Macaca fascicularis: one gene and its partners. The main gene of each other region encodes a partner of the protein of the gene in region 2 in a complex. Links are inferred from orthologs where the notes say so. Each region holds a gene or a part of one and is shown on either strand. Other genes may lie near its edges.

Region 1 (7,468 bases), on a different chromosome or scaffold from region 2:
TACTTCCCTACCCCCGGATGGTATTACATTTTATCACATAGCAATTACAATTTATGCAGTATCAATTTTGTTAAGGTTGGTTCTCCTAACCCAAGGAATTCTTACACCTGAAGCCTAAATCAACAAGTACTATATTTGGGTAGTTGAAAAACTGTATTTACACAAGTGATGCTACAAGCCATTAAGTTAAAAAACAGAGACGAGCCCCCCCCCACCCCTGCCCCACCCAAAACCAGACAGTACAGTAATGTGTCTTTGCATGATTCTTTCTCTTTAGGAACTGAAAACAAGGGGAAGCATAACCTCCTTGGCCCAGATTGGAACTGTATACCCCAAATGACCACCTTTATTGGCGAAGGGGAACAAGAAGCCCAGATAACATACATAGATTCAAAGCAGAAGACGGTGGAGATCACAGACAGCACCATATGTCCAAAAGAGCACCGGCACTTGTACATAGACAACACCTATAGTTCAGATGCACTTAACCAGCAGCTGAGCCAGCCCGGGGAGGCCCCCTGTGAGGCAGACTATAGAAGTCTCGCTCAGCAGTCCCTATTGACCCTCTCAGGACCAGAAACTCTGAAGAAAGCACAGGAATCTCCGAGAGGAGCTAAAGTGTCCTTTATTTTTGGAGACTTTGCCTTGGATGATGGTATTAGTCCCCCAACCCTCGGCTATGAAACACTACTAGATGAGAGTCCTGAAATGCTGGAGAAGCAGAGAAATCTCTACATCGGCAGTGCCAGTGACATGAAGGGCCTGGATCTCACTCCAGAGGCAGAGGGCATCCAGTTTGTGGAAAATTCTGTTTATGCAAACATAGGCGATGTGAAGAGCTTCCAGGCTGCAGAGGGGATCGAGGAGCCCCTCTTGCATGACATCTGTTATGCAGAAAACACTGATGACGCAGAGGATGAGGACGAGGTGAGCTGTGAGGAGGACCTCGTGGTGGGGGAGATGAACCAGCCGGCCATCCTCAACCTGTCTGGGTCAAGCGATGACATCATTGACCTCACATCCCTGCCCCCTCCAGAAGGTGATGACAATGAGGATGACTTCCTGTTGCGTTCCTTGAACATGGCCATTGCCGCACCCCCACCTGGCTTTAGAGACAGTTCAGATGAAGAGGACTCTCAGAGCCAGGCAGCTTCCTTCCCCGAGGACAAGGAGAAAGGCGGCAGCCTGCAAAATGATGAGATCCCCGTGTCCCTCATTGACGCTGTGCCCACCAGCGCCGAAGGCAAGTGTGAGAAGGGACTGGATAATGCCGTTGTCTCCACGCTGGGAGCTCTAGAGACTCTATCCGTGTCAGAAGAACAGCAGACCAGTGACAATTCAGGTTCTTTCACAATTGTTACATTCATTCACTGATAACCATATCATTCCATCCTTCCAAGCCATTTGCCCTTGGAGTTCTGTTACATGGTGTTCTCCATTTCACAAATGTCCCATTTCATAAACGTGCTGAAACTGCCATCATAGGTTTTTTTGTGTGTATGTGATTTCTTTTGTTGTTACTTTTTTAAAAACATAAGGCACATCTCCCCCACCCCCACCCCCATTTCTGGAAAAACTGCAATAAACTCAGAGTCCTTACTGAAAAGGGAAAAACTTGGTATTTTGTTTTAGTAATAACGGGTCCCATTTTCTTACATGTCTCCAAGTGCCTCTGATGCATCCATTAATCAGTTCTTGTTTTTTACGGCATGCAGGTGTAGCCATCTTGCGGGCTTATAGTCCTGAGTCTTCGTCAGACTCGGGCAATGAAACTAACTCTTCTGAAATGACTGAGAGTTCTGAACTGGCCACAGCACAAAAACAGTCAGAAAACCTCTCCCGCATGTTCTTGGCCACTCACGAAGGCTACCACCCCCTTGCAGAAGAGCAGACTGAGTTCCCGGCCTCCAAGACCCCCACTGGGGGCTTGCATCCAAAGTCCTCGCACACCCTGGCTGCTAGGCCAGCAACTGACCTCCCGCCCAAAGTTGTGCCTTCCAAGCAGTTACTTCACTCAGACCACATGGAGATGGAGCCTGAAACCATGGAGACTAAGTCAGTCACTGACTATTTCAGCAAACTGCACATGGGGTCGGTGGCATACTCCTGCACTAGCAAAAGGAAAAGCAAGCTGGCCGATGGTGAGGGGAAGGCACCCCCTAATGGGAACACAATAGGAAAAAAACAGCAGGGGACCAAAACGGCAGAGATGGAGGAGGACGCCAGTGGTAAATTTGGTACTGTGTCTTCACGGGACAGTCAACACCTGAGCACTTTTAACCTGGAGAGAACTGCCTTTCGCAAGGACAGCCAAAGATGGTATGTGGCCACTGAAAGCGGGATGGCTGAAAAAAGTGGATTAGAAGCAGCAACGGGGAAAACCTTTCCAAGAGCTTCTGGTCTTGGGGCAAGGGAGGCTGAAGGGAAGGAAGAAGGAGCTCCTGATGGAGAAACCAGTGATGGCTCAGGACTTGGTCAAGGGGACCACTTCTTAACTGACGTGACCTGTGCATCTTCAGCCAAAGACTTAGATAACCCAGAGGACGCTGACTCGTCCACCTGCGACCATCCTTCCAAGCTTCCTGAGGCTGATGAGAGTGTGGCCCACCTTTGTGACTACCACTTGGCCAAGCGGATGTCATCGCTGCAAAGCGAGGGCCATTTTTCTCTGCAGAGCTCCCAAGGCTCTTCAGTGGATGCAGGCTGTGGCACGGGCAGCAGCGGCAGTGCCTGCGCCACACCCGTGGAGTCGCCGCTCTGCCCCTCCCTAGGGAAGCACTTGATTCCTGACGCTTCTGGGAAAGGCGTGAATTACATTCCTTCAGAGGAGAGAGCCCCTGGGCTTCCCAACCACGGAGCCACCTTTAAGGAACTGCACCCACAGACAGAAGGGATGTGTCCACGAATGACAGTGCCTGCTCTGCACACAGCCATTAACACCGAACCCCTGTTTGGCACATTGAGAGATGGATGCCATCGGCTCCCCAAGATTAAGGAAACCACAGGTACAGCAATGATGGATTTAGCACTTTGTATGACATGCCAGGAGCATGTAAACCATATTTACAACAAACTTACAAACGTAAAGTCTGGAAGAAAAGTAAAAGGTAGAATTTAAAAGGCCACAGAACAGTAAAGTACCAATCATTGATCCCCTAATATTTAATAAATACTAAAGATTACAAAGGTGAAAATGGCATTTGCGCTTTATAATCTTGCTCTGTGTTTGCTTTCAGAATTTGATGGAGCAATATGTTTTTTTCCTAAATTCTAAATGCAGATGTTTAGCAATGCCCAGTGTGACTTTTAGTTATATGATAGTATTGCTTAGAGTCACATACCAGTTTGATTTTCTTCCCAAGACATCTGATTTCTAATTCTGCCATTTCATTATTGAGGGACAAAGAAGAATAAGAGAGCAGGGTATCAGGGAGATTGGAGGGGTTTGGAGAGATTATTTGCCTTTCAGCAATCTTACTGACTCCTCCCTACTCTGACATACCCCAGTGTCAGGAAGATTTTGAGGTTATGTCTGATGAGCTGCTTTATTTTCCCCAAAATAATAAAGTGTAAACACACATAGAAACAAGAACACATCCACCTTCTGTATCCCACCTTCACTACTCCACCACTCAATGGTATGCATTCCCCTCACTGATCCACTTGGCTGGTCATTATATGGCAAAAGCAGATACTCTCTCATATTTTCATATTTCAAATTATGTCATCAATAGTGTCTTTTTCATACAGGTCAATAGAAGTTAGTGAGATCTTATATTGGTCATTTTCTATTCCTGTTCTTTTAAGATTTTCTACTTTCTCAAAACCCACCACTGGCTTTACCTGCCTTGGAAAAGTTATCTGTGAATATTACCTAACTCATCACCCAACTGCATATTTACCTCTAAACTAACTAAGTCACACTGTTTAATCTTTCATGATTTATAAAGAACTTTCACCTGAGTTACCTCTTGCTTCTCACAAATATTCTGTGAGATGGGGATTATTTGCTTCACATGACAGCTTTTCTTAAACAAACAAAAAAAAAATGTTGAGCAACTGGCCCAAGGTCTCAACTTCAGACTTTGTACCAGGCAAACCTCATGCTGTCCTCTTAAAAAGATTCACTTATTTAATTTGCATTAATTAAATTAGGCCACTTCTTTAAAAGAAAGAAAGGAAAGAAAGAAAAAGAAAGAAAGTAAGGAAAAGAAAAGAAAGAAAGAAACTGATGCCAGGTTTAACTTAATTCCCTTGAAATGAAACTTAGTATCTTCAATATATTTGAATAATCTATACATAGTTATTTTCTGTGTCTAAGCTTGATAGATAGATATTGGTAGCAAGGCAATTCATGAAATCCCTGAAAATGTTTGGGATTTCTAGACAATTTCAAATGAATCAGCAGTTCCAGAAATAACAGATTCCAGTATTTTCTTGATATTCATTAAAATGGAAATTTGTTATGAGATATCAAGATGCAGCCTTTGGAAAGCAGGGTGACCTTAGCATACGGCAGCCCTTCCAGACTACATCCTTGAGAAATGACAGACATCATGTAGAGATGTAGTAAAAATGGCCTCCCAGGAGATGCTTAATGATTCTCTCTGTTTTTCTACTACCCCTAGTGTAGCTTTGACAGAGCCTGGGAAGGAGAGACGAGGAGGCATGCCTTCAGCTTGGTCTCAACATCCTGAAGCTGATCCCATCCTGCTACCATCAAACATTCACTCGGAATCAAAGGTGCCAATTCCAAATCAAGACCCTAATGATTTCTCCCAAGCAAATCAGGCATATGGAGAGGCTGTGAGCTGGCGGCCACCGGATCTGAGAGGGGGAAGCCTCAGGACACCCCCCAGCCAGAAGGCTCTGAGACATAGCAGCAGTGTCCTCTCCGGATCTGTCGATTTGGAGACCTTCCGAGAGAGAACCAAGGGTGCAGTCAGCTTAAAGTGTCCAGGCATCACAGAAGCACAGGAGGCCAGTTCTGAAAGGCGAGCAGAACTCCCCCTGGGGAGGAAGCTCACCAAAAGTTTTTCCCAAAGCTCGATGCACTTGAGCTCCGAGGGGAGGTTTCACAAAAGGTCCCCAGTGGCTCATAAAGACTCAAAGCTGTATAGGACATTACCCTTGCGGAAGCTGGAGGGCAGCAATTGGAGATGCCGGGGACCCTTCAGCTATTGCTTCCTGAACCGAGGGCAGGATGAAGATGGTGAGGAAGAGGAGGAGAGAGGAGAGGCCACCGTCCAGGTCGCTTGCCTCTATAGACCACAGATGACTCAAGCCACGCCAGAACCAAGCAGCCCATGTCTGGCTGTGGCAATTCAGAAGCAAGGAGGGGAGCTATCCAGAGGGTCAGTGCTGAAGGTCTGGGCAGAAGACCTGCGAGGCCCAGATGACTTGGACTTCAGCAACCTGGCTTTTGATGCCCGGATTGCAAGAATAAATGCCCTAAAGGAGAGCACATATGCAATGCCTGATGGGTTCCTTGCAGCCCAAAATGATGCCAATGAGCTGCTCTGTCTCGTCAGGGCAACAAAGGAGAAGAAAGAGGAGTCACGCCCTGAAGCATACGACCTTACACTTTCTCAGTACAAGCAACTGTTGTCCATTGAGTCCAGACAGTTGGGAAGTGCCTGTAGGAAAATGGCGATGGCTGAGAAAAGCCCGGAGGAGATGCTCCTAGCTATGACTTCCAGCTTTCAAGTGCTCTGTTGCCTAACAGAAGCTTGCATGCGATTAGTTAAAGTCGTGAACTCAGAAACACAGCGGCAGGAAATTGTAGGGAAGATCGATGAAGTGGTCATAAATTACATTTGTCTACTGAAAGCTGCCGAAGCAGCCACTGGAAAGAACCCTGGGGACCCTAATGTTGGATTCTCGGTGCGACACTCAACCACCATGGCCGCTCTCGTAAGCACACTGACACGTTCTCTCAAGAGGCTTTTAAACAAATAAATATGGAAGTCACGTCATAATCTACCTTTACGAAGCCATACATGAACTTTTATTTACTTTGTGTGTATGATGAACAGATGTCTCCTTTCTTCTCTCTGTATATTTTGTTATTTTATATAAAATAGGAGATAAAAGTCACATTGATGAAATGTTGAAATGTACTAATCAGATGTATTCTGTTTATATTATACATATATATACACGTAAAAGAAATATCCAAGAAAGTGATGACATTTGGCTATTTTTCATATAGTTAAAACTCCAGGTATATGATGTGAAATTTTAAATTCTACCATGTTAGAGCAAAACAATGAATCCTATCCCCTTTCTTTCCAAGTAGATACTTGGAGATCACATCATTCATATTTAGAAGTAAAACAAAAAAACAAAAAAAGAGAGAGAAAAGAAAAGAAATCACAATGTATATAAAACAGTACTAATGTTTTAAAATTATGATTTTTAAGCATTGGAAATAGCAAAAAGACATTTAAAATTCAAGAAGCTATTATGAATTACTAGAGACTATATCTGTAATAAATTAATTTTTTGCTCATAGTATTTGGTTACTGGATGCTTTCTTCCAAGAATCCCACATATTTAATTTGGGTTTTTGCTATTTGGGCTACAAATTGGTGGGGGTGGATTCTACTGTGTCAGCACAAATGCTCTTCACAGTGTTTCTAGCATTTAAAAAACTTCCCAGGGAGAAGAACAGAGGGGATGATGGGCAGTTTCCTAGGTAATACCTAGAGTTATAGAATATCTCATTACATAAAATGTATGGAATTAATAATGCCAAAATTAATTATTTGATGGAAAGATCTGCTTTGACTAAATGTCAAAAATCTACAAACCAAAGACATTATCTTCCCCTCACCGCAACTCAACTATGAAACTTAAAATTCCCTTTAGAATGATGGGACATTTAGTAAAGTATTTGCAAACTTACAAAAGGGAACATTTAATGATCATCAAAATTAAGTATTGATTCAGTGATGTAGACCAGACCACACACCAGCACCTGTGAGTCTCATCTCAGATCACAGCTCTCAACATAGGGCTTCATGCATCACCGCCTCTACAGAGGCTAAGGCTGCCAATCAAATTTGGAATTACAGTGTAGTACTGGGACAAAATCTCAAATCTTGGGTGTTCCAGAAAATCAGGGAGAAATGGCTACTGTAACCATGGGAACCATGAGTAAATAGTTAAGTATTTATTAAATAAATACTTAATCTGGATTGGCTGATAAAAATATGAAATCTGAAAAAAAAAAGAAAGAAATGGAAGTGGTATATTTGACCAGTTCAAGTGAAACCAATGGAATGCAAAGAACTTTCCAGGACTGTCACATCTCTAAAAGTACCCTGCAGTCATAAAATAAAATCGATATTATATATATATATTTCCTGGGTCATTCAGTGCTCAAGTTACATGCACTCCTACTTAGACAGGTGGCTCCTTAAGAATACGACGGGAGTACACCAGGTGCAAATATTTCTACTTTTGT
Region 2 (7,468 bases):
CAATTATTTGGAGTTGGGTAGCAGTTGCCCCCTTCACACTGGGCATTATCTCTTAAGTTTACCACAATTCCCACACTTACATAGTTAGGAAGACTTTTTTTTTTTTTTTTTGAGATGCAGTCTCGCTCTGTTGCCAGGCTGGAGTACAGTGGTGTGATCTCAGATCACTGCAACGTCCACCTCCTGGGTTCAAGTGATCTTCCTGCCTCAGCCTCCTGAGTAGCTGGGATTACAGGCACGCCCCCTCCCCACACGCAGCTAATTTTTGCATTTTTAGTAGATACGGGATTACACTTACGTAGTTAGGAAGACTTTTTTTTTGAGATACAGTCTCACTCTGTCGCCAGGCTGGAGTACAGTGGCGTGATCTTGGCTCACTGCAACCTCCACCTCCTGGGTTCAAGCGATTCTCCTGCCTCAGCCTCCCAAGTAGCTGGGATTACAGGCGTGCCCCACCACGCCTGGCTAATTTTTGTACTTTTTGTAAAGATGGGGTTTCTCCAGGAAGACTTCTGAAGAGGTAACTGAGTTTGGGACCTAGTCACTGATCTTGGGTCAAGGGCATATGGAACCAGACTAATCCTCTATCACAGACTAATCCTCTATCACAGACTAATTCTCTATTGCAGACAGTCCTCTATCACAGACTAATCCTCTATCACAGACTAGCCCTTCATACAACGATATACAGAGGATATCACTGAAAAAGAAAATTCCTTAAAAGGGATTTTAAGGTAAACACAGGAAAAGAAACAAAGGAAAAACTCTAGGGATTCAATAATGCATCTATATTTTACCTTAGTTACGGTCAAAAGATGTAAAACATACCTATCATTCAGCTCTTGAGCAATTGCTAAGTGCTTCAGATGATAATCAATGGCCTTTTCATAGTCTTGAAGCAAAGTATATGTATTTCCAAGACTGTAACAAGACTGTGCTTCTACAGCTCGGTCTTTAAGCTGTCGAGCCAACAGTAGTGTCTTCCTACAAGAAGAAATTAATTCTTACATAATGATCATTCTCAGTTTGGGCTTTAAGGATCACAAAATAAAACTCTAATTTTTCCTCTCTGCTGCTTTCTGCTGCCTTTAAATCTCTGAGAGCCTAATATTCATATCCCATACTTTCTTCATTACTTTTAGACAAAATGAAAAGGCCTTTTTGAAACACAGAAAGCAGATTCAAGACAGAATAAATTTGAGAATCCTAACAATTCACCAAAGTAAAGGAGTATTGAAACATGAAATCAAGAGTTTCTAGAGGTTAACATACTATCTTTAACATTAAAAAAAAACTTTCCCTTTAGTATTGGCTTTTTTCCACATGACATCTGTTTTCAATCGTACCGTCACCTTTGCATTGTCAAAATTTAAAATATTTAGGTAAAATTCTTATGTGTAGGCTATTAGTCACCACTTAGGTAAAATTCTTATGTATAGGGCATTAGTCATCAACTCATGAAAAATACTGAATGCTGCATCCAAACATTACCCATTCTAACTGTGGTATTGTCAGTGAGAAGCTAGCATAGCAGTTAAGAGTATAGATCTTGGAGCTAGACTGGGTTTAAATCCCAACTTTGCCAATTACTAAGCTAAGGGCAAAGTATGTATACCAGTCTCTCCATATATAAAATGGGAGAAATACCTCAAAGGATTTTTGTGAGGATTAAATTAATATGTATAGATAAAAAGTGCTTAGAATAGCATCTTGTGCATAGTAGATGCTGTATAAATGTTAATATGTTATTATTATCAGTGCTTAAACCTACAGATGCTTTTGGATTCAGTAATTTAAATGGCTCTCCCACCATTTCTGCCAAATAGTGTAATTACTTCATATCATTTATAACTATATGACAAATTACTATACGGTAATGTGATAGCTTTTTCTTAAACAAATCTAAAATTACATATTTAATGATGATACATTCAAATCTGTCGCCTTGGGAGGCTACCTAATTATTCTAATGCTGCCTGTCTTTTCAAATATTTTTGAAAGACTTTTGGAATTGCTCTCAGATCCTGTGACATAATGCTTTCTGGCATACCATTATTCTTTGATGGTACAGTTGATTTGTAAATGATCAGAAATCTTTCTGGAACCAAATTCAATTACTAACATAGGTTTACCAAACTACTGCTTTGTATCTGGAAGGATATGGATCTACAATGTTATGTCAGCCTTCTTGTTTGGCCCTGATAACAATTCTGGGCTGGGTGTGGTTCACACCTGTAATCCCAGCACTTTGGGAGGCCGAGGTGGGCGTATCACTTGAGGTCAGGAGTTCAAGACTAGCCTGGCCAACATGGTGAAACCCCATCTCTACTAAAAATACAAAAATTAGCTGGGTATGGTGGCAGACGCCTGTAATTCCAGCTGCTCAGGAAGCTGAGGCAGGAGAATCGCTTGAACCCAGGAGGTAGAGGTTTCAGTGCACCAAGATTGTGCCATTGCACTCCAGCCTGGGCAACAAGAGCAAAACTCAAAACTCTGTATTTAAAAAAAAAAAAAAAAAAAAAAAAATCTAAAGAAGAGTTCTAAAAATATTTCTAACCGACAACTTGGAATATATATAAAGTTCTGAGTTCCAGCCTGCTTATAGGGAGAAAAAAAGTAAGTTTCATTACTTTATATTCATGCTTCTTTAGTCAAATAGCCACTATCCATTTTATAATAGAACCTTTCAGTATGTAACACAGGTATGCCATTTAATAATTAAGACTTCTCTATATCCCTTGGCTTTAAAACATAAGAAACTTTTATATTTAAAATCAAAATATATACTCCTTCATATAGTACATAGTAATATGTTTTATTTGGGAGGCTATTTCATATCTAACTGACCTAACCAACCAACAAATATTAACCATTAGTTAATGTTTAAAGCAAAGTGGAATGCTATTCAATTTTTTTTAGATAGGCCTGAAACAATTTTACCTTTTTATGAAGATGACAAAATTATCCAGAACTGTCTCATATTGGATTCTTTAACAAAATACAAATCAATCACTGTGTCTTCAGTTTAGTCAAACTGGCTTCTACCCAAAATCTATAAGGGCCTTCAATCCCCACTAACTAGGGAAAACTCAATGTAGAAAGCACAGACCAGGCAACTTGAAGCTGTCTAAACTTTCTATCATCTATGTCTCACATCTACTGATAAGAGACATCCTGCCACAGAAGGAGCTGGGATTGCAAACTCCTCAGGTAAGTGAATGGGGACGCAGCTTACAGTGACACAGTCAAATATGGGCAGAAAGAGGGTAAAGGGAGAACTGCTCAGTAAGAAGGTGGGAAGGTAGAGCAAAAAAATCAGTGATCACTGATAGAGACTATAAATATTTTTGTTACCAGGCTTTCTTTTGGCATCTCTTCTAACCCATAATTGAGTGAAATAAAGCATATACACAATATACACCACATATGCTAAGTAGGTTTAAAAGATATTAAAGGCTGAAAACTTCATTTAAAAACAATTACTTTTAAAGATAAAAACCAGTACTATAAAGGGGTCATACTGCTGCTATTAAATCTTAGGTACAATAATATTTATTGAGCGCTGTGTACCAGGCACTGTGCTAAGTGTTTAATATATTATTTCATTCACTCTTCACAGTATTCCCCAAAATGATGTATTGATATATTCTGTTACAGATAAGGAAATTGAGGCTTAGATGCCAAAAGTCCTGCTGCAATCAGATTTTAAACCTAAAGCCTATAAATTAATGGGATTGAATAACTATTCATTTTACATTTATCTACAGAAATATTAGACTAACTTGTAGTAGTCTGAGGCAGTTTCAAATTCACCAAGAAATATATATGCGTTTCCAAGGTTACTATATGCTCTTCTTTCAGCCGCTTTATCTCCAAATTCTTTTGCAATCAGGAGACGCTGAAACAGAAAATTTTAATTAGATGTAGCTAAAATAAAATGGAAGAATGATCTAATCACTGTTCAGAACTTTGATGGAGGAAATGGTCTGGCTCCAAGGCCTTCCACTGTACCTGCTCATGAGCTATAACTGCATCCCTGAAATTGCCAAGGAGGTAATGTGTGTTCCCAAGATTTCCAAAGGCACGTCCTTGTGCTGCTCGGTCACCCAAAGCAGTCACTAATGATAGATTTTCCCTAAGGGATAGCAAAAAGTGACGAAAAAATAAGTTTGCAAAACAATTTTATTTATGTGATTTACATAGCTAATTCTTTTTATCAGAAAAAAATGTAAGGAAGCTTACAGCCATAATGTGCAACATTTTAAGGATGACATCAATGATGAAGAGCAATTATAGGAAATAGCTGGGAACACTTTATTAAACTATTCAGATAGGTTTCTGCCCAGGGTCAAGCACAGAGTTAATCTTGGAACCCCTATAGTTAAGTAGTTGTATGAAATTCTATTGGTAAAAGACTAAATTACTCTAAATAACAGCCCAACCATTGATATTTCTTGTTTTTGCCACTAAGTGGCACTGGTCTGCAATTTAAATGAAAGCTGCAGATTACTACTAATAACACTATAACATTTAAGCAACTGAATTGATGATTTTGCTAGTTCATAGCTTTAAAACCTTTGCCAAACTTAAAAACTTTACTACTGAATAAAGAACGTATAGCAGATCCACAGCTTAGATGGGCCTACATGATTGCCCATATCAGCCCCTACTCACTCATAAAAATCCACGGCTGCCTGCAGAGCATCTCTCACTTCTTCTGGAAATTCTCCTACATCATCCTGGGGACCAGGGTAACCAAAACTTTTCCCTTTGGCATGATACACATTCCCAAGATTGTAAAGTGCTCTTGCTTCTCCCACCTAAATGAAGACATCAGCAAAGTTTACATTTTGAAAACAGAGGTCAGATTTATCATATATATTTGTAATATCCTTAGTATTATGGACAAGGGAAAGAAATTTTTATATTGGCTCTCCATACAGAACCAATCAAATAATTACTTATAAAAGAAAGACCTCTATTTCCTTCTTTTTCTCCATTAAATTTTTTTTTCTCTTTTACTTCTATTAGTCTATCAATGTTTTCTTTTTTGGTATTAATTTTTAAATAAACTATAGAATAATTAAATAGTATTAAAATGCAAAGCCATCTGAATGAAAATATTAGACCTACCATCTAATGCTGCAGTATTACCTTGTCATTAAGCTCTCTGGAAATATCTAGGTGTCGCTGACAACAAACTATGGCTTCATCAAAATTCCCAAGAACTTTTAAGGTGTTTCCCAGATTACCACTAGCTTTCGCTTCCCCCAACTGGTCTCCAATAGTCCTGAAAAAAGCAAAAAACAAAAAAAAAAATGGTATTGAAATACAAATGGTGTTAAAATATAAAGCAGCCAGAGTACAGTTTTCCAAGAGGACAAACTGACATGCTTAAGGTAAGAAAAACCCATCGGCTTTGAAACCTACTTTAAATAAATATTTAAAACTTACATTTCTGGATTCAAATGTAATTAGTTTTCATCCATTTAATTAAACTCTAGGGTCATTTCACTACTATTCATTCAATTAAACTGTGTTCAACCTAAAGGTTAGTTTTAAAAAGTGATGCTACTGAAGTAGAACTCATTAAATGTATTAAGTTAGTTTTTGTTAATTGAATAGAAATATTTTTTAATGTAATAGCTAATTTCAGAAGGAAGAATATTTAAAAGCTTAATTACCTTGCAAGAGTTAAATCATGATGGTGATATTCTAATGCTTTGGCATAATCATGCAAATAGAAATAAGCATTGCCCAGCTGGCTGTAAATAGCACTAAGTGTTTTTAGGTCTTCAGTTCCAACTTGAACTGCAGCTTCAAAGAATGACACACCAGCGCGGCAGTCTCCTGATTTACATAGACGTTCCCCTTCCAAGGCCAGCTCTAGGCAAGAAGCTTCCATTCTACAAAATTATACAGGACAGACATTTAAACATAACATTACAGCTGCATCACAGTATTTTTAACTTCCAGTAATATAATTTAAATGTAGACTATATGGCTACTCTTGTTCAGGGCAGCTGCCTCTATAACTGAAATCTATATACATTCCTGATGAAACAGTGAAACAGTTATTTGTAGCAAGAGGTAATTTGCCTACTCAAATTTCTCTGAGCCTGCTCAGAGAGGTCAGGATAGCTAAATATCTGTATGTGGAGCTCATTTTAATTGGCCCAGAGCAATCCATGTTACTAGTGAAAGAACCTATAGCAGTATTTCCCAAACAATTCTGAGTTGTAACAGACCTCTGGACTTCCTTAGAGTCTGAGGAGATGAGTATGTGGGAAAGTGAGGCCCTACAATTATTAATACTGTTCTCTACCCAGGTATCCAAGTTATCCAAGTACTCTAGTCACTTGTTCATCAACCCCTCTGACCATCCATCCATCCATCCATCCATCCATCCATCCATCCATCCATCCATCCCTCGCTCTCTCTCATACACACACAACACACACTCAGTCTCCTTCCTCTTCTTACCACCACATGACCACGTATACCACAGAAAAATAGAGGAACAAAATATTCTTGATCTATAAGGCACATTTTCACAAGAGAACTAAGTGTCAGGAAACTAAGTTAGAAAATAATGATTCAAAAATTTGCAGAAATACTAAGTTTGGAAGTCTGTCCCTGAATTGAAAAAGAAGGATGAAGTTACTGTAAACGTATCTGGGAGAAAAAAACACTGATACTTCGGATTCAAATCCTAAATTTTAGAGGGTGCCCCTCACCAAAATTGCCATTGTGTTTCTTCAGCATCTTCATGATTTCTGCCATATGTATGAACTACCTATTCGTTTAATTATTTCTGTAATTTGGCAAATTCCCTTTAAATTGGCACACTATCTTTATCATTGAAAAAAAATGGAGCTTCATCCAAAGCAGTACTCATGAAACTGTGAATTTGATATGATACTTATATTTATATTCTAATATGGCAGTCTCCAACCTTTTTGGCACCAGGGGCCGGTTTTGTGGAAGACAATTTTTCCATGGATGGGTGGCAGGGGATGGTTTTGGGATGATTCAAGCGCATTACATTTATTGTACACTTTATTCCTTTTGTTACTACACATTCACCATAATGTAGAATCAGTGGGAGCCCTGAGCTTGTTTTCCTGAAACTAGATGGTCCCATCTGGGTGTGATTGGAGACAGTGACATCTCATCAGGTATTAGACTCTCATAAGGAGCGTGCAATCTGGATCCCTCGAATGTGCAGTTCACAATATCGAATGCCACCACTGACAGGAGGCAGAGCCCAGGTGGAAATGCTGACTCGCCCCGCCCACCTGCAGCTTACCTCCTAACAAACAGGCCACAACAGTACTGGTCTGCGGCCCAGGGCTTGGGAATCCCTGTTCTAATACACATTAAACAAATATGTAATTATTAAACTCTAAAAGTGAGTAAAGTTACCTTATGTACCACCAGTGGCATACATATCACTCTTTGAAAAGCT
Region 3 (7,468 bases), on a different chromosome or scaffold from region 2:
TCGGCGCAGGGTCTCCTGGGGATCTCCAGTTTTCATCTCCTCATCTGTGATGGTGCCCAGGCTCAGGGAAGGCTGCATGGGTGGAAGAGGCGGTCAGTGGACCGTAGCTGTGTGGAGATGGAGCAGGACCTGGGGCTGTCCCAGAACTCTGCACTTGCCCGCCATTTAGGGTAGGTGGACCCTTCCTACCTCTCAGGAGGCCTCCCTTCCTGTTCTGCTTTCTACTTACACCCCGGGCAAATGGCCACAAGCAGTGCAGTCCCAACCAGATTCCTCTCCGAGCTCCTGCTCATCCCCAGGGACTTCACTCCTAAGCACCTTCCCTGCTGTCTGTTCTGCCTGGAAGCATGAGAAGGTCACCCTCCCCGTCCTTGGCCAGTCAGTGATCCAGGGCTCTAGTGCTCAGGCTAGATCAGCAGGTGGGATTCTAAGGGAGGACAGGGATGGGAGGCCCTGCACAGTGACCCCAGGGCTCACCCTGGACTCCAGGGGATAGCAGGTCTTCAGGTGTGGGGGGCACACTCGATTGCGCTGCTGCAGCTCTGCAATGCGGTTCCAGTCATCCAGCTGCTCAGGCTCATCCTGGCAAGTGCCCATGTAGAAGCTGTTCCTTCCTGTGGATGGCAGGGAGGTGGGAACAAATGAGCCCGGAGTCAGCAGGTTGCCTGCTGGCCCTGGCATCTTGCCAGCCTTTGCTGCCACCTACCCCATAAACTTGAAGCCCAGCACACCAATCTGATTCAGTGCCGCAGGTGCAGGAGTATGGCACGCAGACTATTTCTATCCTAGGGGCTTGCTCACTGCCTTCTCCTTGGAGAGGGCAGAAGAGGTCACATGCAGAGGCTGCTACTACATCTTATTCACCAGCCAAGGCTTGGTGCCCAACACCCAGAGGAACGAATTAAGGACCAGGAATTGATTCCCAGGGGCTCTCTGGTGCCCAAAGGACAAGAGCTTCCAAGAAGAGTCTGGCCAGCCTGGCCTTTCCAGCAGCCCATCACCACCTAAGGGCATGGAGGACTCCCCACGGCTAAGTGTCACAATTGTGCTGGGAATCCCAGGCCCTTAACTCTGGCTAAGAGTGCCCCTAACACAGCCAGCCCCTAGATGGGCAGGTAAGGAAGGCCCTGAGGCTGCAGGAAGGAGGGGCAGGTGGAGGTGGACGGTAGCAAGGAGGCCAGCCTTGGATTTTTAAAAAGCTTTCCTCTTTTCCCTGTGCCACGATCCACCTTCCATTCTAATTTTGGGGTATAGTAAGTCCCTGTAGTCCCCTCACCTGGAGGGGCCCCACTGGACACCCCGGCCTGGGAGCGACGAGCAGAACTGCGAGTGGTGGGGCGGTAGCCGGGCAAGCTGAGCAGGGCTGAGTTGCCATAATCGGGAGAACTCAGGCGAGCTAGAGACTGAGTAGAGGAGGTGGCTCGCAGGCTAGCCTGGGAAGCCGGAGCAGACCGCGTGCTATAGAAGGATGAGTTGGCGCTGTCTGGCTCTTCCACATCTAGCTTCTGGAAGAGAGAGTGAATCTGTTGCAATGGGGTGGGCCCTGGCACTATACAGAAGCCTCCCATTCCCTCCCAAAGCCCTCAGATCCCACGGCACATCCATGCATTCCCAACAGCTTTGCAAAGGCCCTTAACGTGTGTCTGCAAGAAATGGGCCTTGTTGACAGAAGCCCTCACAAGGTGGTGCTGATGTTGTCAAGACTCTTTTCTATGCATTTTTTTCATGGAGTCTATTCATAATGCTTTGAGGGAGGGAATGCAGAGTGTTTATTGGCCCATTTTAGAGGTGAAGTGCAAAGAAATGAAGTGACTAGCCCCAAATCACACTGCTAGGAAGTATCAGAGCTGTCTCCTGACTAGTCAGGCTCATCCCACAGCCTCTGCTGTCCCTCAGTCCAAGCTTCCAGGGCCCTTACCATTTTCTACAACTTCCCCAACTTCTTGGTAGCAGGGGACACCCTGCACACACAGGTCCTCCCTGCTGTACCGGGGCCCCTCTCCCCTCCTCCCAAACCTCCCCTTCAAGATGTGGAAACAAAGGCAAGGGCCCACAGCCTGGCAGGCAGTCCACTGGGCAGCAACAATGCCTCTCAGCTGCATGGGGCATGCTGGGAGGCACTGGATGGGCTGCAGCTTCACCATGTTCTCTCCCTTCACCCTGCACAGGCTCAGTGCTACACATGGAGAGAACACTAGCCTTAGTCAGGAGGCAGGGATCTAATCCCAGCCCTGCCCTTTTCTTCAGAAGTGCCCCTAACCAAGTCACTGCCCTTTTTAAGACCTCAGCTTTCCCACTGTAACATGGACTGGCTGCTCATCCCTGCCTGCTCCTGAGTGCCCAATGCAAAGACGCCCTTGAGAGGAAGTGGGAATTGCTGCCCTGCAGCCCCTGTCCCGACAGCCTGACCTTGGTCATGGTGATGTTGATGATCTGTGTGGTGCGCCGACGAGCAGAGCGGGTCTTACGACCTGAGTCCAGGAAGACATCTCCCAGGGAGTCCAGGCTGCTCTCCAGGGGGGCCTGACTCCGAGCAGGGATGGGAGTGAAGTAGAGACTCTCCAGGGATTCTACCTTGGGGGGCAGGCGCTGGGAGATAGGTGAGGCTGGTTCTCCAGGGACGCTGGTGCCGTCTGGCTGGGTACGAGGCAGCTTGCTATGGAAAGGAAACCTGCTGAGGTACAGTCTTTTGGGCTAGAAGGCATTTTGTCCAGCCCTTTTCCAAAGTGACCATTTTCCATACTATAAGCAGATGAGGTCAAGCAACCCATGTCTCTGAATTTTCAGAGGTACCAAGGAAAGCCCTTGACCTGGGCCTTCCCTTCAGTCCACTCCCCTGGCTTCTCCTAATACCTCCTCATAGTGGCAATGCCCAGACCCAGATGTCCCATCCTCACCAGATGCCCACGGCTGCTCCACAGCAAACACGTCCCAATCTAAGCCCACTTCTCTGTTCTTCCTCCTTCATCTCCCATTTCAGTGAATACGAGCACCTGCCACTCAGGCCCCCAAACCATGAACATGGGCATAATTCTATGTTGTCCTGCTTGGGAAGCCCAATCACCAAGCTTCCTCAACAGCTCTCCTAACCATACCCTCTCCATGCTTATGTCCTTTTCCTGGTTTGTCTCATCTCCTCTCACCTAGACTCATCATGGCACTCACAGAGGCAGATGAGTGGTGACAAGCAAGGACTCAGGCCAGGCTGCACAGGGTCAAACCCCAGCTCTACCACTGGGGGACCTTGGGCAAATGACTACCCCTCTATGCCCCAGATTCATCTGTTAAAGGAGACAGAATAAACCTACCTCAGAGGGTTGTTGGGGGATAAATCAGGTATAATTGTTATGAGTGCTTTATGTCTAGCACAAAATAAGTACAATGTAAGTGTTTAATAAAAACAATATGTATTTCCAGTCTTAACTTCTATATTGGCTATTAGAATCATCTTTTTAAGATGGAAATTAACCATGTACTCTTCAGTTTCAAATTCTTCCAAGGTTCCTTTTTTTTTTTTCCCTTAAACCTTTCAATTATAGCCACCAAGGTTTCCTCAATGCCTTTAGGATCAAGTCTTAATAGCCGGTCTCCAACGGGGAGTCCAGATGGCCCTCTAGGATCTTGGGCCTTCCTGGCCTTGCATCTCAGCCTAGTCAGGCTCTTTCACAGCCTCTGTTCACACTGCTCTTCTCTGTCAACCTGGCACACACACCTATGGATGCTTTCAAGACTCAGCAGGAGCGATAGCTTCCATGAAGCCTTTCTTGACCGCTTGCTTTTTATTCCAACTGTGCCCTAAACAGACATCTGGTATAATACCTGTTTTTCTTTATTCTTCTCTAAGAATAAATTTGGATCACATCTTATTTATCTCACCAGGATACAGCCTGATAAACAGCGGGTACTCCATAAACAACAGACATAGGGAGGAAGAGTGCCTCCTGACCTAGTGATACTGAGTGGGGTCCCCTCCTCGCAGCTCAGATCCAGGCTGTCAATACTCAAGTCCAGCTGGGGCTTAGCCTGGGGCTCACGGCTCTTTAAAGCATCAGTTGCCACCTGGAATTTGCCCAGGTCTCGAAGCTGCTGGTCTGCGTGGGCAACCTGAGAAGGAGAGGGCCAGGGGGAGAGTGAAGAAAAACCTAAGGCATCAGTGGCCTAGGAGGAGAGGGCACAGGGGTCCAGTGGGATAGGGGTGAGGTGAGTCTGCCAGCCAAATTCTTACCTGTGCCTCCAGGCTGCGCACCTGGGCAGTAAGGTGGCGGCATGTCTGTTCAGCCTCCTTGGTCTTCAGCCCAGCCTGCTGTAGCTCATGGCCCAGCCGTTCGGCTTCAGCTCGCAGCTCTTTGTTTTCCTTCTGCAGGTGCTCCAGGCTCTGCAGCTGCTCCTGCAGCTCTTGGTTCTGCTGCTTCTTGGCATCATAATGAGTTTTGGCTTTCTCCATCTGTGGGCAGAGAGGATGGGTGGGTGGGGCAGAGGCTGGAGGGCAGGAAGAAGGTAGCATGGGCTGGGGCTGGGCTCCTTACCTGCAGCTTATAGTGCTCAGCTGCCTGCTCCTTCTGGCTCAACTGGGCTTGCAGTTCATTCAGCCGGGCCTGGAGGCGCTGGGCCTCCTGCTGGCTCTCACCGCCCTGAGCCTGGACAGCCTGAGAAGAAAGTCCACTCAGGAAAGCTGGTCTGGCCCCTCTACCCAAGTCCACTCATCTGCATCAGCCACTGGGGCTCAAGAGGTGCTTCAGACTCCTGCACTTAGGAAGAGGAAGAAAACCACACCACCCCAGATACACTCCACCCGACTACAGCCTACTGAACCTGAAGTCCACATGCCCTTCAGTCCACATCCATAGTGGCCTTTCCCTGACCAGCTCCTGCCCTATCTTTGCCTTCTTTGAGATAGGACACAAACTGTCTCACCCTCTTTGCATGCACACACAATCTCCCCTAGGAGGAAGGGAACCGATCCTCGAGGAACACCCAGGTGCGGAGCCTGGAGTGAGGCACTTGGCATGTGAGCTCTCTGAGGACAGGGGAACTTGTTTCTCCTCAAAGCCACTCTGAGAAGTCACTTCATCCCCTTTTCAGAGGAGGAAACTGAGTTCAAAGATTTAAGCAAATTGACCATAGCAACAATGACTAAATGGCAGAGTAAGACTTGGTCCACTAAACTCCAAAAGCCCGTGGGGGCTTATTTATGATGCCCACACTGCCTCCTGTCCAGACTATAACTCCTTAAGAACAGGGCCTGATTCTCTGTCCATCTGCAAGGCCAGCAAGTACTCTGCGGTAGATACTGTACAGAAACATCCCACCTTTGCCTCTCCTAACACAGGACAGGCCCCACAAGGAGCAGAATAAACATTTGTTTATTGCAATCAAGACATGCTGTGGCACCATGGTATGAAATGAAGCTCTGAGCTCCCACCAACTCCTAGGACCCACCAGGGCTTTAGTGAGTCCCAATACCACTGATGTCCAATTCCTTTGCCCCTGACTAAAGGCTGTGCAGCCTAGAACTGCAGAAAGCAAGTATTAAACCAAAGAAGGTGACACAGTTGGAATCATTAAGAATGTTATTAAACTGCATTGTAATATTCAACACTGGTGACACTCGTTCTTTCCCTGCCCAGACTATCTGGACTTACATGGTTCAACAGAACTTTATGCAACGGTGGAAAGTTCTGTATCTGTGCTGTCCAATGCAGCAGCCACTAACCACATGTAGCTACTGAGCAGGGACACAATGTAGCTAGTGTGATTGAAGAACTGGATTTACTTTAATAAATTTCAATAACCACACATGACTAGTAGCTGCTGTAGTGGAGACAGTTGAGAGATGGGAACCACCCTGGTTGTCTCTTGAGAGCTCCCAGAAGACACACGCAGGGGCTTCTAAGCCACAGGCTTCCTAGGAGGGCTGCCTGGAACACAGGGTGCCCCTCCTCTGCCCCCACACCCCCACGGCCCGAGAGCTTAGAGAACAGCTTTCCTCCCCTGTCCAGAGGCCAGACCCGTTCCCCCAGCTGCCCCACCTTCAGCTTCTGCTGCTGCACTTTGCTGGCTTGGTCAGAGTCAGCCAGTTTCTTCCTCAGTTCTTCCACCTGGGGAGGGAAGAGGAGGACAGAAGACTCAGGAGGACTTCCCCTGGATGTTCATCCCAGATGTCTACCCATCATGGGGTGGCCCAGACCAGGATCCCCAGTATTCCTAGAATAAACTCAGGCCCTTTCTCTGGCCTCCAATTAGGGAACAGCCTGCTGCCCAGGCTGCTTGGCAGGGCCTGAGTGAGGCAATCTAACACATAAATGTTGCCAGGGCCACCTGTCCATACTTGCCTCTACCCTGAGCCTGCAGAGAAAGAGGCCTGCCCAACCCCTGTCACCTCCAGAATCGGAATTGACTCTGCAGAGCTGACACTTCACCACCACCCTGCTGCTGCCACCACTCTGCAGCCGCAACCTTCCCAGGACCTAGTCTGTAATTCTAGCCGACATACTCAATGAATTGCCATGCCTCCCTCCCAGAAACTGCCAAAGCCCAAGCCCACAGATGCTCAGACCTCTTCCCAACATCCACAGGCTGTTAGGGCTGGTGCTAGCAGCATGGCTGCTGTGGTTAGCATTGGGGGAACAGATTGCTGGAAGACAAGAGCAGGTGTAGCACATGTACTCCAAAGCCCACCCAACTCCCACAAAGAGGAGCACAGGGAGTAGGGGAAAAGAAAGAACATAACAGCCCCATGCACCCCTGGCTGCTTCAAGTATTCTGGGAGTTCAAGCATGACCAGGCAGCACAGGGGAGAGGCAAGGGCTCCATTGCTAACTGTTTGCTATTCACTTTGATTCTCCCCCATTATCACAGGCTCCTTAGAGGAAGAGGAGGGCCCAATTTTTCGGCAGTCCTGGGGTGGCTGGGTAGGAGAGTGACGGGGAAAGGGTGCTCTAACACTAGCTCTATAGCCTCGATGTCTCAGGCAACACAGAGATTCCCGTGAGAAAGAGGCAGCCAGACCATGTGACCCCCCACTCCCCTGCCCCCATCTGGTATAGACCCCTCCTGCTACTTCACCCTCAGCCTTCCTGCTACAGACATCTCTATGCTGTGCTTGGGGTTAGAGCCCCAGAAAGTGATGGGCAAGTGTCCTGAGCCCACAGTTCTCCCTAACCTGTGGGGGCTGCCTCGCATATCACCTTCAAGGCTTCCATAAAGCTGTACTCTGGTAAAAAGGGACACAATGTTAAACGAGGCCCATAGGTAATTCTGCTGTTCCTCTTAGTTGGGTATCCTTAACTAGACACAGTACTTGGGAAGTTTTAGAATCCCAAAGATTGTGTCTGTCGTTGGTTCAGGTGTGGGAAAGATGAAGCCAGTGCTACCCCTTGTCCCTGACAGGCAGATGAGAGAAGGTGCAGAAGGGTGGAGGGGCCGACCTGGGATGGGTGGGATGAAGCCCGAGAGAGCCCAGCACACC

What was found. Proteins that work in one complex are often made in the same cells at the same time.
Region 1: the proteins of GPSM2 (region 2) and FRMPD4 are in contact, whole or in part, in a crystal structure (PDB 4WND), measured with the Homo sapiens proteins. The link is inferred for Macaca fascicularis from reciprocal best matches to the Homo sapiens genes GPSM2 and FRMPD4. Residues at the interface, in NP_001307967.1 of Homo sapiens: Leu25, Ala28, Leu29, Glu32, Asp57, Lys59, Thr60, Ser62, Ala63, Ile64, Ser66, Gln67, Asn70, Phe73, Tyr74, His85, Asp88, Ala92, Gly100, Lys103, Asn107, Asn110, Thr111, Lys113, His128, Arg143, Tyr146, Asn147, Asn150, His153; in NP_055543.2 of Homo sapiens: Gln988, Leu989, Leu990, His991, Ser992, His994, Met995, Glu996, Met997, Glu998, Pro999, Glu1000, Thr1001, Met1002, Glu1003, Thr1004, Lys1005, Ser1006, Val1007, Thr1008, Asp1009, Tyr1010, Phe1011, Ser1012.
Region 3: the proteins of GPSM2 (region 2) and NUMA1 are in contact, whole or in part, in a crystal structure (PDB 6HC2), measured with the Homo sapiens proteins. The link is inferred for Macaca fascicularis from reciprocal best matches to the Homo sapiens genes GPSM2 and NUMA1. Residues at the interface, in NP_001307967.1 of Homo sapiens: Ala28, Leu29, Glu32, Cys35, Lys36, Phe47, Lys59, Thr60, Ser62, Ala63, Ile64, Ser66, Gln67, Asn70, Ala71, Phe73, Asn110, Lys113, Tyr146, His153, Lys157, Pro164, Gln165, Arg203, Gly206, Asn207, Asn210, Tyr213, Leu214, Arg228; in NP_006176.2 of Homo sapiens: Ser1901, Phe1902, Tyr1903, Met1904, Gly1905, Thr1906, Cys1907, Gln1908, Asp1909, Glu1910, Pro1911, Glu1912, Leu1914, Asp1916, Trp1917, Asn1918, Arg1919, Ile1920, Ala1921, Leu1923.

Annotation. Positions count from the first base shown.
Region 1 is NC_088395.1:12,490,462-12,497,929, forward strand, and holds part of FRMPD4 (FERM and PDZ domain-containing protein 4), read left to right. Parts: intron 1-277; coding exon 278-1,342; intron 1,343-1,715; coding exon 1,716-3,005; intron 3,006-4,628; coding exon of another isoform or gene 4,629-4,633; coding exon 4,634-5,958; 3' UTR 5,959-7,468. UniProt on the Homo sapiens protein: Positive regulator of dendritic spine morphogenesis and density. Required for the maintenance of excitatory synaptic transmission. Binds phosphatidylinositol 4,5-bisphosphate.
Region 2 is NC_088375.1:125,551,886-125,559,353, forward strand, and holds part of GPSM2 (G-protein-signaling modulator 2), read right to left. Parts: intron 5,907-7,468; coding exon 5,685-5,906; intron 5,291-5,684; coding exon 5,155-5,290; intron 4,821-5,154; coding exon 4,675-4,820; intron 4,136-4,674; coding exon 4,012-4,135; intron 3,899-4,011; coding exon 3,783-3,898; intron 985-3,782; coding exon 829-984; intron 1-828. UniProt on the Homo sapiens protein: Plays an important role in mitotic spindle pole organization via its interaction with NUMA1. Required for cortical dynein-dynactin complex recruitment during metaphase. Plays a role in metaphase spindle orientation.
Region 3 is NC_088388.1:70,764,051-70,771,518, forward strand, and holds part of NUMA1 (nuclear mitotic apparatus protein 1), read right to left. Parts: intron 6,099-7,468; coding exon 6,030-6,098; intron 4,647-6,029; coding exon 4,527-4,646; intron 4,445-4,526; coding exon 4,226-4,444; intron 4,105-4,225; coding exon 3,947-4,104; intron 2,657-3,946; coding exon 2,410-2,656; intron 1,506-2,409; coding exon 1,277-1,505; intron 615-1,276; coding exon 478-614; intron 73-477; coding exon 1-72. UniProt on the Homo sapiens protein: Microtubule (MT)-binding protein that plays a role in the formation and maintenance of the spindle poles and the alignement and the segregation of chromosomes during mitotic cell division.